Coturnix japonica: one gene and its partners. The protein of the gene in region 1 purifies or fractionates together with the protein of each later gene. This does not show direct contact. Links are inferred from orthologs where the notes say so. Each region holds a gene or a part of one and is shown on either strand. Other genes may lie near its edges.

Region 1 (3,863 bases):
TGTACAGCGACCCTCTGGCGTAGGCACTCACAGCACACCAACAAGCCATCAGCAGAAAACATACCCTGCAAGTATTGAATCTTCTGTGATTAATTATCCTGTGTCTAATCACAACAGCCCAGCCTTGCAGCTGCAGGCCTCCCATGGCTCCAGCAGCCAACATTACAGTAGGCAGCACATGATGGTGCAGGGGGAACCCATGGGGTATGGTGTTCAGCGGAGCCCATCCTTCCAAAACAAGATGCAGCAGGAGGGAGGCTACGCCAATCTCCCAAATAAAGGGGCAGTTGTTCAGAATAATGCTAGTCATGCATTTCAGCAGGCACCAGCAAGCCTGTATATGTCACATTCTCATCACAAACAGACAAGTCCTCCCTCCCATCAAATGCACGTGATATCTAGAGGTCCAGCATTTGGTAACGATTTTTCAGACAGCCCACCACAAAATCTATTAACTCCATCTAGAAATAGCCTAAACATGGACCTCTATGACATGAATAACCCTCAAGTTCAGCAGTGGCAGGCAGCAACGCCTTCACGGCGAGATTCTTTACAAAACCCAGGAATAGAATCATCTCCACGGCAACACGTGTCCTTCAGACCTGATGCCTCAGTGCCAAGCAGAACAAACTCCTTTAACAACCATCAGCAACAACCGCAAGTGACCGTGTCTATGAGACAGGTTCCTCCAGGAAAACCTGATCCTTCCATTGCATCTCCAAATACAATCACAGCGGTCACATCTGCTCATATTCTCCAGCCAGTGAAGAGCATGCGAGTGATGAGACCTGAGCCTCAGACTGCAGTGGGACCTTCCCATCCTGGTTGGTTACCTGCCCAGGCACCGGCCGTGGATGGCCTAGAGATCATTGAACAGCACGTGCCAGCTGTTGGAGCAGCCAACGCCTATCAACTAGATGTGGATTATGGTAACCAGGAGCTGCGGTGTCCACCACCACCGTATCCCAAGCACTTGTTAATTCCCGGCAGCTCTGAGCAGTTTGATATCAATTGCTTATGCATGGGTGTGGAGCAGACCCTGCGTGTAGTCCCCAGTTCAACGTGCAATAAGGCTGAGGAGAACAGTGAGAGAAATGACAAAAACAGCAAAAACACTAAAGCTGAAAAACCAGGCAAGGATAAAAAGCAGATCCAGACATCTCCGGTGCCTGTGAGAAAAAATGGCAAGGATGAGGAAAAGCGAGAATCCCGAATAAAGAGCTACTCACCATTTGCTTTCAAGTTCTATATGGAGCAACATGTAGAAAATGTCATAAAAACCTACCAGCAGAAAATCAACAGAAGATTACAATTGGAGCAAGAAATGGCTAAAGTAATTATTATTTTTTTTTAATATAATAAATAGGGTCAAATTAATTATTACTATCTTAAGTCACTCAAAAAAAGGTATAAAGGCGAGTTCTCTGGGAAGTGATAATAGCTGTTCAACGCCTCCCTTTACCAGACTGTTTTCACTTAGAGGCCTGGGTGCAGATCTGGGAGACTGTTTGAAAAAGCTGAGACAGGATGTAGTATGTCCTCATACAAGAAAGTAAAATAAAGCAGGGGCATCCACAGTAGGAAAGTATTACGTTTGCATAGGAAAGGACTCAGCAGCCAGGTCTGAGACCATGGTAATACTGACAATACTTTCCAGCCCTTGAAAAAATCTGAGAAAGGCTTTCTCTTTGCTCCAGTTCTTCCTGCCTATTACATGATAGCAGCTGCTTATTCACCAAAGCCACAGTTTAACTTGGCAGTAGATTTACTATGCTATATTTTCCCTTGAATATGTAATACCTGACTGAAAGTTGTCTCTTGAACATATGTTAGTAATAATACCATGCAAGTAATCATCTCTTGGCCAGCTGAAATGATCTTGGGATCCTTGCTGGGATTTGTTCTAGGCGCGGGTCTCAGTGAGGTGCACTTTGAGAGCTTCATTCACGTCTCGTAGTAGCGCTCAAACTGAGCTGACTCACTGATAGGGCTGTCTGAAGGCAAGCTGCCAAGTTCTGATGATTGCTCTGGCAGTTCTGTTTGTAATTTTTAAACATGGAAATTTTGTATTTTTTCTCCCTTCAGGTGCCATTAGCTAGAATATGACTAGTCTACTTTTGTGTTTAAGGATAAGCTTTAATGAAAGCTATCATTAATACATGATGGGTAATAACTTACCTGACCTTCCTTAGAACTGGTTAGGGTCAATTAATTTGATTCTCACATTGCTCTCCCTCTATGGAAATATTCAAGACCTGTCTGGTGCATATCTGTGCATCTGTTGTAGGGAGCCTGCTTTAGCAGGGGGGTTGGCCTCAGTGATCTCCTGGGGTCCTTTCCAACCCCTGTGATTCTGTGATTCTGCTCAAGAAAATCTGGTGGTTTGCTTGCCAAGGTTACATTTGATGCTTCTAAAAATCTCTTGAAAGGTCAATATAGTGGTGGTAGTTCATAGTTTGTCCTCAGTGCAACTATAGGTTGTGTTGCACTGCTTGGATTTAGTGAATATTTTCCTAAGACTGAGAAAGTTGGGGAGCAGTCTCTAAAGAAGTAAGAAAAGAAACTAATAGCATCAGTTCTGTTTTGGCCCTTCAGCTTTTGCTCACTTCATAACTCAAAGATAACTATAAACAAAAAACAGCTCCTTCCCCTAGCAACCTCATTTCTGGCTGGAATAACACACCACAAACTCAAGAGATTTTGGCCATCTGAATATCGCATTATTCTAGAATTAACCAAGAATACAACACAGTAATTGTTATGCGTTAAAGCAATAAACGCTTCCTTTAGTATGGATTGAGGTACCCTACCTGTTCTGCAAGTTTTTTCATCCTTAATTCACATGGATTTCATTTTTATGCTGTGGGGATCTTGCTGCTTATTCTGGCTGCCCACCTATCATCCTTAATGGCCTCGATTGCAGGTGTGAAATGAAAACTTCAGTCAAAGCAGCAGCCTTATGGGTGAATACTTAAGGGGTCTTTAGCCTGCTTCTCAGTCAGCTTCATCTCCATCCACCATTTCCCCCATTGCCTCTTCCCATCACTCACTCTTCCTCTCAAAATGCTTATTTTCACTTATTTCAGTTCAAGATAAATGTTATTCAAAAGGAGGGGGGTCTGCTGCAGACAGGGAATTCTGAGGATCCTGGAAATCAGCGCAGGGGCTTCTGCTGGTGAAGGCTGCTCGTGTTCTCAGACAGGCACTGAAGGCAGAATTGTGCAGGCTCTGTCTTGAAGCATGGGGGAAGTCCAGCTGGTTAATTCTCCCCCTTTCCAGGAGATGTTCCCCTTCAGACATGTGAAATGTTACTTTTAATTACCGTAAGACTCTATGGGGACAGAAGGTGTCTGGACAAGCCAGCTTTGTTACTGTTCAGGTTCAAAGGGAAAAAACATACATTTAAAAGAGAAATAGGATCTGGATCTTGGCTTCAGTGTATGGGAGGAGGCCAGAGCTGAGGGTTGTATACATATATTTTGGGAGGGAAGTTAGGGATCTGCCAAGTGTGAGAGTGGAGGTTCTGTACAACAGAGGAGGAAAAATGGTTTTGAAGAAAGAGGGTTCCCAAGATACTTTGTCAAAAACAGTTTCTTAATTGCTATGAAAAAAAGCAACTGCTCGGTAGGGAGGTTTCATGTGAGTTGCACTGGAGAGCTATTACTGAACCAAGGGTGCTGTTGTATCTCAGTTTAAGTTGTACTGCAGTGTGCAAACACATACTGGAGTGTATTGGTGAAATTCACAACTGAGAGTTAAAAACCAAATCTTGTGAGCAGATCTGTTATGTTCCCCTGATAGTATTGTTCCTTACCTTGTAGCTCAGGAGAATAAGAAACACATAGCAATCTCAGATACAGTAA
Region 2 (4,659 bases), on another chromosome or scaffold:
ACCTCAGCTGCACACAGTGCTGGTAAAGCACAAAATGCCACCAAACTCCTCTGAGACATTTAAAGTACCCTACAGCGATGTGCCAAGACAATGTGATCTTCAGTGCAAAGCAACTGAGACTCCTTATGACTTTCATCCCCACTGCAACAGCATCCTGGCTGGGATATCTACTGATCTCTGTCTGACCTCCTTCTTCTTCTTTCTTTCCTTTTGTTGGAGACTTTTGCTTTACAGACCCAGCTGAGCTCCCATGAGGAGTGCTGCGGCGTGCTCCCAACACAATGCACAACACCAGCTCTACTGCTCACACAGCTTCCAAGCGGAGCTGCTGCACTTGTGACTGGTTCCACCCACCTGTATGCACTGGGGCTCCGGGTCCAAATGGGACTTGAGCTGCTCACCTACAGCTCTGCATCTACTGAGGGAAAGAAACTTGTGGCTGTGTTGAGCAGATGGCTGCTGGATGCTGAGGGGGCAACCCAGTGCTCTGCTGCCAAACGAGATGTGTGAGGTCCTGTTAACGTACCTGCAGCATATCAGCTCTGCTGTGAGCAATAAAGAAGGAAGTCAAAACTTTGCTCATGATAAATACCTGATCCAGGCAGAGAAGGACCAACAGAGCGTGCCTCCAGGCTGCGGCGAGCCAGTAACACAGCAGGGCACATCACTTTTCTGCCAGGGGACAGAAACCTATCTGCCTGCCACAAAGCTCAACTCCATCTCATGCCCTGAGATAAACAATCACAGCAAAGCCCTCTGCAGGCGAATGTACTGCTCCATGCCAAGAAACACACTTACTATGCAATCTGCAACTAAACACTCAGCGTGCCTTCAGCTGCGCCCACCCTGCTGCTGAATCACAGAGCAGCAGCAGAAGGGAACGCTCGCTTCAGCCATGACTTTTTGCCATGTGTGGTATTAAACCAGTTTGGTAGCATGCTCTTGTTCTCCTCACATGTAAGCGGTCTCTTTCCATCACAAAGTACCAACACAAACCTGTTGGCCTGCCAGAGCTTTTGGTCCACAAGTCAACTGTTCCTCCCAAGTACTTACAGCCCACTCATCATTTGAAAGCCAATGAGAACTGACACCTGGGGCAAAGAAAATCTGCTGACTGCAGGAAACCCTCCTATCCAAAGCGCTTCTCTCTGAGTGTGCAGTCAGCTCCTTCAGGGCCATTCCAGAAGCAGCTCCCTTGCAGCTCACACATCCAAGGACCACTGCATCACAGCCACGTGTGGGAGCCTCCAGGGCAAGTACTGCTGAGCACTCATCCTCCTGTAGGCCTGGTTACCCCCATGGCCTCCTGTGGGCCCAGCCACATTCCTGCCCCACATGGCACGTAGGTGTGATGCCATCCTGCTCCTTGGCAGGCTCCTTTCCATCCAAACGTGCTCAGGTAACATATTTTGAGCACGTGAAAAATGGTGAACGTTGTGAAGAGAAGAACCTTCTGAAGGGAAGAAGTTCCCAGCCAGCAAAGGTGGACACTTCCAAAGGCTCCAGGCTGGTGCTCAGCGCTGTCCTCTCATGGCTGCTGCACTATCTGCGCTATGAAACTTAAAGATTAAGAAGAAACAAACATTGAAACAAGAGTTTCCTCTACCTGTGATGAGTAATGGTTATATGAAAGAAACTGAAAAGCCATAACCCAGCAGCAGCAATACTGACACACAATGTGAAGGCATGAACCTGCCAGCACACACAGCAAGGAGCCACCTCACACCTAGGCACGCACCACGTCCTATCACAACTGTGCTTACCAAAGTAGTCAGCCTTGGGCCGCGCATCCATCTCCTGCTCCAGGCGCTGAGTGAGTGCTTCCAGCTTCAGCTCAGCTGCAGACGGCCCCTGCTCTGGCTGCTGGAGGGTCTGGCAGGGCAACTTCACCTTGGCCACGCCGCAGCCCTCCTGGTGCCCGCTGTCAGGATGGAGACTGCTCGTGCCCTCCTTGAAAGGCTGCTTTGGTGCATCTGAAGTCAACGGCCCACGTGCTGCTGCCAAGTGTGAGGTACCCAGCTCGGGGCCGCCGTTGGGCCGGTGGTTGTGGCCATGGGCCACAAAATGACTGGTGGGACTGGGGTGGACGCCAGCTTGCTGGTAGTCTATGCTGGGCCCCCCAGGAGCAGAGCTGGGTGGGAAGGGCCGTGAGCCGCCCTGGTACCACAGCTGGCCGCCATCTGTGGTTGGCCCATCCACGCCGGCCTGTGGCCCACAGGGCTCGGTGAGGGCCAAATGCCCGGGGCTGGGCTGTGCCGCAGAGGCTGAGAAGGAGGACCTGTGCTGCAGAGCAGCTGCTGGCGCCCCATCTGAGGGACCTGCAGGGCCACGCACCTGTGAGAAGGAGGAGGACCTCTGCCCGGCTGGCTTCAGCTCTTGGCCCTGGCTGCTCCTCCTGCTATCACCACCGTTCTCCTGAGGGTCTCCACGAAGCTCCGCTTCCCAGCTGCGCCGCCCAGCCTGGGAGCTGGGGGACGGTGGTTCCCCAGGCACGGGGAAGGCTCTGCAGGTGCCTGTTCGCCCGCTGCCAGGGCCCTCAGCTGCCACCTGGGGCAGCGGGCTGGTGGGTGAGCCCAGGGGCGGCTTGGCACCACGAGGTGCGGGCAGGCCGGGCCGTGGTGCACCCAAACCAGCCCCACCATTGAGGGAAGCGGTGGCCATCAGCATCTCCTGCTGCTGCTGCTGCTGCTGCTGCTGGAGGTGGATTTTGGCCATCTTGGTGGCAAAGACCCGCCGGGTCTCCTCGAACTCCGGGTTGTTGCCAGCCGCTCTGTCCACTCGAAAGAGCCCGTCCTTGGATGCCTCGTACATGTTGAGGTCCTCGATGAACTTGCTGGCCTCCAGGCCCAGGTCGTCGTACTTGTCCATCCTGCCCCGCTCTCCGGCTGCTGCCACCACCACACGCCGGGGACGCGCTGTGCGGGGCGGGCTGTCGGCCCGGCTCAAGTTTCTTTCTCCCCTCTTTCCCGTCCCTCTTCCCGCAGCGCAGAGGACGCGAAGCCGGAGCTCTCGGCGGCGGCAGAGTCACGGCGCGGCCCCGGCTGCCTCCCGCCGCTGCCAGTCCCGCCCGCCGTGCCGGGGGCGGGGGCCGGGGCCGGGGCGGAGCCGGCGGGGCGGTCCCGCCGCGTTGCACTGCGGCCCCTGGGGGCCCGCGGGGGTTGATGCTGGCGGAGGGAGCGGGGCGAGGCCGGGTCGGGGGCGTCGGTGCGGCCGGGATGGGGTGGGGTGGCGCGTGGGGAGCGGGCGGCTGCACTGGAGTGGTTGAGGGCCCCGTCCAGGCACTTACGGAGTTCTCCAAGGATGGGAGCTCCCTCATCTCCTCTGCTTGGCACTGCCCAGCTGCCGGCACCCTGCTGCCCTGCTATCCTCCAGGGCTGAACCACCAGCGATAAGCAGAGTTGTGAGTGCCAAGGATAAGGCAGAGCTGTGAGCTGCCAGGGAAATAGTTTGCATTCCTGGAGCAGGAGCTGCAGGAATGCACTCACCGGCTGAGCCGCCCTCATTTATTGGAGCATAGCACCATCCTGACCTGCCCCGGCTGACAGGCCAACCAAAGACTGAGCAAATCCCTGCTCTGGACTCTGAGGGCTGCAGTGCCCCTCAGTAAATACACTGAAAGGTGCAGGGTGGGGTGCGTGTGCTCAGCCTTGTAACGCTTCCCCAGCACTCGGGACAGGGCCCAGATGTTAAGGAATGTGTTGTGAATCAGGCTGTGACCAAACTGTGTTAGAAACCAGAAAATAATGCCCTCCCTTTCTAACAGCTCCCTTGCAAGAACTCTGCTTAGCAACAGGGACAGCTTGCCCCCCCCCCTCCCAACATGGCACACTCCTTACAGTGAGCTGCAGCCCCTCCAGGGAGCAACGTGTCACCTGTTACAGCCACCGCAGCCCAAGCTGACAGCATTGGATTCACAGAGTGGGGCTGGGGAGCAGCAGTAAATCACTCAGGAGGCCTTCATTGCCTGCCGAGCTTCTAAGTGATGGATAGCACTGAGGCACAAGGGGAAAACAATTCCCTCTGTCAAACCAACCCCTCTATCTGGCCTCTCTGAGCCTTGCTGTGCCCTGAGGAGGCTGAGGGAAGAAGCATCCCCAGGCAGGGCTGTTTTGTGTTCCCTTTGCAGAAAAATCAGCAGCTGAAGTGTGAACTGTGTTGGCCACGACCAGAAGCAGGTAAGGGCAGCTCTGAGAGCGGGGATTGCTAGGCTGTGCTGTGTCAGACAGGGCAGGGGATAAGGAGCTGAGGGCATGGCAGCCCCAGCAGGTATTCTGTGCTGAGCAGGTTTCATCTAGAGCCACCAGAGGCTGACAACAGAAGTAACTGACTCTTGAGTACTCCATCAAAACCAAGGAGCTATGAGGTTAAGCCCATAGAGCAACTAAAGCCTGAGCCTTGGTGTGTGATTGTGCCGGGAAGGAAAATGCTGGCTGCACTGAGCTCCAGGCAAGGAAGAGAGATGCTCAGGCTCAGCTTCAGGTGTTACCACTTTTGTTTTAAATGTTAAAACAATAAAGCAACGGAATTGGTACTGAACAGCAGATCTGCATTTCTTTGAGAGAATAAGAAAACACGACAGCGAGTAGATGGATGGCAGCATAAACCCCACTGCTTTTTTCCTGGGAGGAATTTGTTGTGTGCACAGGCAAAGAGTCATGG
Region 3 (4,528 bases), on another chromosome or scaffold:
AGCTAAGAGGATCTGAAGCTCCGGGATGGCTATTGGCAGTCACAAGCATTCCGAGCATCTCGCCTTTGACACAGCACCGCACATCTCCATCTCCATCTCCAGCCCCTGCATCCCTTCCCTGCACAACAGCCAAGTCTGGGCTTTGTGGGCTGCTTTCACCTTTCCACGTGCTTCATCTTCTGATGGGAAGCAGTGGGTCTGTGTGGGTCTGTGGATGGGGAAGGGCTGTGTGAAGAAGCCAGCAGCTGGTCAGGCTCGTCCAGGGGGAGCATGGAAAGGTGGAAGCTTCCCATATCTGCCGTGTTAGAAAGAAAAAGAGGAGCAGAGGGCTTTTCCTCTTCAGATCACTTTCCAAAGTGCTGTTATCAGCCCAGGAGGGGTTTCCTGCTGCCAAAAATAGAGCGGTGTGGAGATAGGAAGGGAAGCGGGATGACGCAGGCATAGATAAGGCTGCTGGATGAGCCGGGGGGGCAGCTGGGACCTCCGGCATGCTGGGTGCCCCCATCCCACTAAGAGACCCCCGGTAGGGTTTGGGATCTCGCCCACACCTGCTCTGTGTCCAGGGCTCGTTTCTCAGCCCCGTTATCAGTCAGTGAGCGGCTGGGTGCTGAACGTCAGCCCGATACCTCCATGGTTGGGGGCCGGCAGGGGAGGCTGGCCGAATTTCAGGTTGTGCAGCGTGCATCTGTGCCTCTGAAGGATGCAGCGGTGTCTGGCCGAGCAGAGAGCGTTACCCACAGCCAGTCCCTTTCCTCCCCCCAGACAAAGCCCCCCAAAGGATGGCAAAAGGAAGAGCCCGTCGGCGCGCTCCGGGCTTTGTTCGGCCTTTGGAAGGTGCCAAATTCCCTCTCTCAAGAATGAGAGCTTAATGTCCCGTATCTAATTAGCAATTTTCCCTGCACCTGCTCCTCGGCCGCCCCTCGGACCATCTGCCGTCTCGGGGCCCCGCGGGCGGACGTGCCCGGCGCTGGGGGTCCCGCGGCTCCTCCGCTGCGGCCGCACGACGGGGAAGCGGCTCCGCAAAGCCGGGCAGCCCCGGGCTCCGTGCCGCGGGTCCCGACCTGCTGCACCCCACAAAGGGAAGGAGCAAAGCACGCGTGTATCCCGCACGAGAGGCGGGGGTCGGGGGGCTGCGCTGGGGAAGGGGAGCGGCGCTGGCAGAGGGCAGAGCAGATGGGGCCGCGGTTTTTTTTTGTAGGGCCGGGAGACAATGGCGCGTCTCTCGGGGCCGGGATCAGGCACGAAGATTTATGCAGGCGGGCAGCTGGCGGGCACAGCCTCGGAGCCCCCCCGGGCGGCAGCTGCTGCCCCAACCCCTCGGCAGCCCCCGGCCCAGCGCCGACACCGACCGGCCCAGCCCCGAATGGCGGTGGGGCGGGCGCTGCTCCCCCTGGCGGCGGAGCGAGGACGGGGAGGAGGAGGAGGTGGCGGCGGGGCGGGGCGGGCCCGGCCCCGCATTCCGGGCATAGCAGCGCCCGAGCCCGGCCCCCGCTACCGGCGGGGCCCGCAGTCGGCAGTGGCCTCGTTCCCCGAGCGGCAGCACGGCCTCGCCGCTCCGCCATGCCCCGGTAAGTACCGCCGCCCTCCCCCCAATCCCCCGTCCCCGAGGAGCCGCACAGCCGTGGGGAGAGCCGCGTTCCTCCGGCCCCAATCCCGCTGACGTCCCCGTGTCCCCCCGCAGGTGCCCGCGTCGCTCGTAGAGCCCCCGGACGGACGGACGGAACGCGGCGGAGATGAGGACGGCGGAGGACTCGAGCGGGACGGTGCTGCAGCGCCTGATCCAGGAGCAGCTGCGCTACGGGAACCTGACGGAGAACCGCACGCTGCTGGCCATCCAGCAACAGGCGCTGCGCGGCGGCACGGCCGGCAGCCCCCGCTCGTCGCTGGAGAGTCTGACCCAGGAGGAGAGCCAGATGGTGCCGCAGTCCGCCCGGCAGGAGCCGCAGGGCCAGGAGCACCACGCCGACCACCTGTACAACGAGCACGGCGGATACCGCCCGGCACAGCCCCAGCACAAGGGCGAGGAGCTCCCCAGCTACGAGGAGGCCAAGGCGCACTCGCAATACTACGCGGGGCAGCGGGCAGGGCAGCAGCACGGCGGCACCCGACGCCCCGACGACGCCCTGAAGGAGCTGAAGCACGGCCACGTGCGGTCGCTGAGCGAACGGCTGATGCAGATGTCGCTGGAAAGGAACGGGGCCAAAGCGCACGGCCCCATCAGCTCGTCCCACAGCTTCCCGCAGCTCTCCCGGCAATACACCCTGCGAGGGCAGCGCCCCGAGGGAACGGAGCCTCGCGGGCCTCCACCGGAGTATCCCTACATCCTCCCCAGCCAGGAGGCGGCCGTCGCTTACCTGTCCCGGCCCTGCTCCCGGGACGGGGCCGGCTTCCAGCACCCCGAAGTCAGGTAACCCACAGCCCTCGCCGCTTCTTGGGTGCTGGTTGGCCCCGGTTTGCCTCGGTTGGTTCAGGATTTCCATCCGGCAGTGAAAACTCCGCTGCTCCGGGAGGGATTCGGGGTTAATGCAGGAGTTGGAGGCAGGTCAGGAAATGGCTAAATTCGGAACAGGCGTGAGCCAGCGTGGAAGGAAAATGTGCTGCTCGGAGTGGAAAAAGCTGCCTGGCCTCCCCGGCTGAGGGTGCCCCCGGCCCCGTGCCTTCCAGCAGAGTGTATGGGAGCGCTGAGCACTGCTCCTTCCTTCCAGCCCATTGACACCTCCAGCAAAACCTGCCTCTGCTTGGAGGTCTGTGGGTGTGGAGATTTGGGCATCTCCTGGTGCTCAGGGAAGGCTGGGAAGTGTGGTGTTCTGGCATGGAATTGCTATAGGCAGGAGCTCCAAGCTGACTTACCAGGGCAGGGAGTGATAGCATTTCTGGCAGGAAACAGCTCTCCTTCCAGGGAACAAAGAGGGGAAGCAGAACTGTGAGGAAGATGCATTTGTTCTTCCTCGCTCCTGGATCACCCCATAGGAATGCAGGCTCCAGCACGGCGGCCACATGGCTCAGGATGGCTGAGGCAGCCATGGGATGTCGAGGAACTCTGGGTGATAGAATGGGGTTGTATTAACAGTGTGGTGGCAAGGCTTGGAGCCAGGAGCCCTCTCCTTGCCCAGGAAACCATGAGGAGAAGTGGTAGTGCTGCAGGTTTCCAACATACATCTTTGCTGAGGGTTTTTCTTGACTGCATCACCCAGCAGCAGGGTGGTACTGAGCCCCCCTGACCCCCCCCCCCCGGCCTAGCAGTCAAGTCCTGATGTTCTCAGGTGCTTAAATCCTGGGTGTGGAGGTGCTCAAGCTGCAGGCAGTGCTGTCAGATGGGGTTTCCTTCGTATTTTGTGTGCCCAAAGCCAACCCTTCCCAGCTGTGCAGGGCAGGTTGAGCACTCATCCTCCTGAGCATGACCCATGGGCACCCAGCACCTCTTTTGTCCAAAGGTGCTTCAGGAGCTCTGCGTATCCACACGGGTTGGTTGACAGAGGAGAACATGTGGGCAGGGTGCTTGTGGTGGCCAGTGTGTCCATCCCCATGAAGTGGCTGAGCACCCCTCTCTTTCCCCCCAGCAGGCTGATGCCAGCACCCGTCCCCGCAGCGTTCCTGCCCTCACCGAGCACGCTGGGCTCTCTCAGCCCTGCTGGTGTGGAGGCCCTGGTGAGTGCACAGGCGGCCTCAGCTGGCAGCCGGCTGGCCCAGGTGGATGCTGTGATGCGGGAGAATGAGAGGCTGCTGCTGGACAATGAGAGGCTGCGACGGGAGCTGGAGAGCTGCACGGAGAAAGCCAGCAGGATCCAGAAGGTGAGCTGGCCTTTGCTTCCTGTCAGCACGCTGAGGATGCAGGACCCCAGCCCTGCTGGTTATTTGGGATGTGGGCAATGGGTGCAGATGCTCAGCCCACCTCTGCTCCCACCCAGCACCTCACCCACCAGCATCCATCCCTTGGGGGGAAGGGAAGGGCTCATTGACCTCCTGCCGTGTCACGGGCAGCAGGTTTAGGCTGAGAGCAGGTACACCTGGAAATGGCCTCATCTGCACAGTGCGGCTTTGTCCCTTGTTTTTGAGCGAGCTCGTGCATTTGCTTCCTTGCCGCCTGGGGCAGGATCAAGCAGCTGCTGTGAAAATTCACCCCCTTTTGTGTTTTAATCTCTGCCCCCTCCCTCCGGTGGCTGCCCCCCACAGCAAGCAGCTGCGCTTTGGTGGCAGCACGGCTCCTTGGCCAAGTGTGGAAGAGAGGGGAAAAAGAGCCCATTCTGAGGCTCCAGTAGCACTCAGGCTGTCTCCACCCGCCCCAGGAGCGTGCCCGGCCACCACAGAAAGCCCTTTGTACAGCTTTGCACAAGGACAGGGCTGTTCCCTGCTGGACAGACGGACACTGGGAGGCACCGGGAGAAGCTGGGCCAGCCCCGGGGGGCCATAGTCAGCCAAATCCATGCTAAGGCAAGAGAGCTCCCTCTGTGCCCACAGGGCTGAAAGCAAAAGAAAAAGGGTTTTTGCCCCCAGACCTGTGTTGTTGTGGGGGTTTCTCACTCTGCGG

Evidence for each region. Proteins that work in one complex are often made in the same cells at the same time.
Region 2: the proteins of LATS2 (region 1) and LIMD1 purify together in Homo sapiens (affinity purification with mass spectrometry; 3 studies listed by BioGRID and IntAct, with this or other methods). This does not show direct contact. The link is inferred for Coturnix japonica from reciprocal best matches to the Homo sapiens genes LATS2 and LIMD1.
Region 3: the proteins of LATS2 (region 1) and AMOTL2 purify together in Homo sapiens (affinity purification with western blotting; 3 studies listed by BioGRID). This does not show direct contact. The link is inferred for Coturnix japonica from reciprocal best matches to the Homo sapiens genes LATS2 and AMOTL2.

What each region holds. Positions count from the first base shown.
Region 1 is NC_029516.1:159,847,377-159,851,239, forward strand, and holds part of LATS2 (serine/threonine-protein kinase LATS2), read left to right. Parts: coding exon 1-1,333; intron 1,334-3,863. UniProt on the Homo sapiens protein: Negative regulator of YAP1 in the Hippo signaling pathway that plays a pivotal role in organ size control and tumor suppression by restricting proliferation and promoting apoptosis.
Region 2 is NC_029517.1:39,419,725-39,424,383, forward strand, and holds the start of LIMD1 (LIM domain-containing protein 1), read right to left. Parts: upstream 3,093-4,659; 5' UTR 2,869-3,092; coding exon 1,764-2,868; intron 1-1,763. UniProt on the Homo sapiens protein: Adapter or scaffold protein which participates in the assembly of numerous protein complexes and is involved in several cellular processes such as cell fate determination, cytoskeletal organization, repression of gene transcription, cell-cell adhesion, cell differentiation, proliferation and migration.
Region 3 is NC_029524.1:3,377,481-3,382,008, forward strand, and holds the start of AMOTL2 (angiomotin-like protein 2), read left to right. Parts: upstream 1-1,436; 5' UTR 1,437-1,568; intron 1,569-1,681; 5' UTR 1,682-1,733; coding exon 1,734-2,407; intron 2,408-3,560; coding exon 3,561-3,792; intron 3,793-4,528. UniProt on the Homo sapiens protein: Regulates the translocation of phosphorylated SRC to peripheral cell-matrix adhesion sites. Required for proper architecture of actin filaments.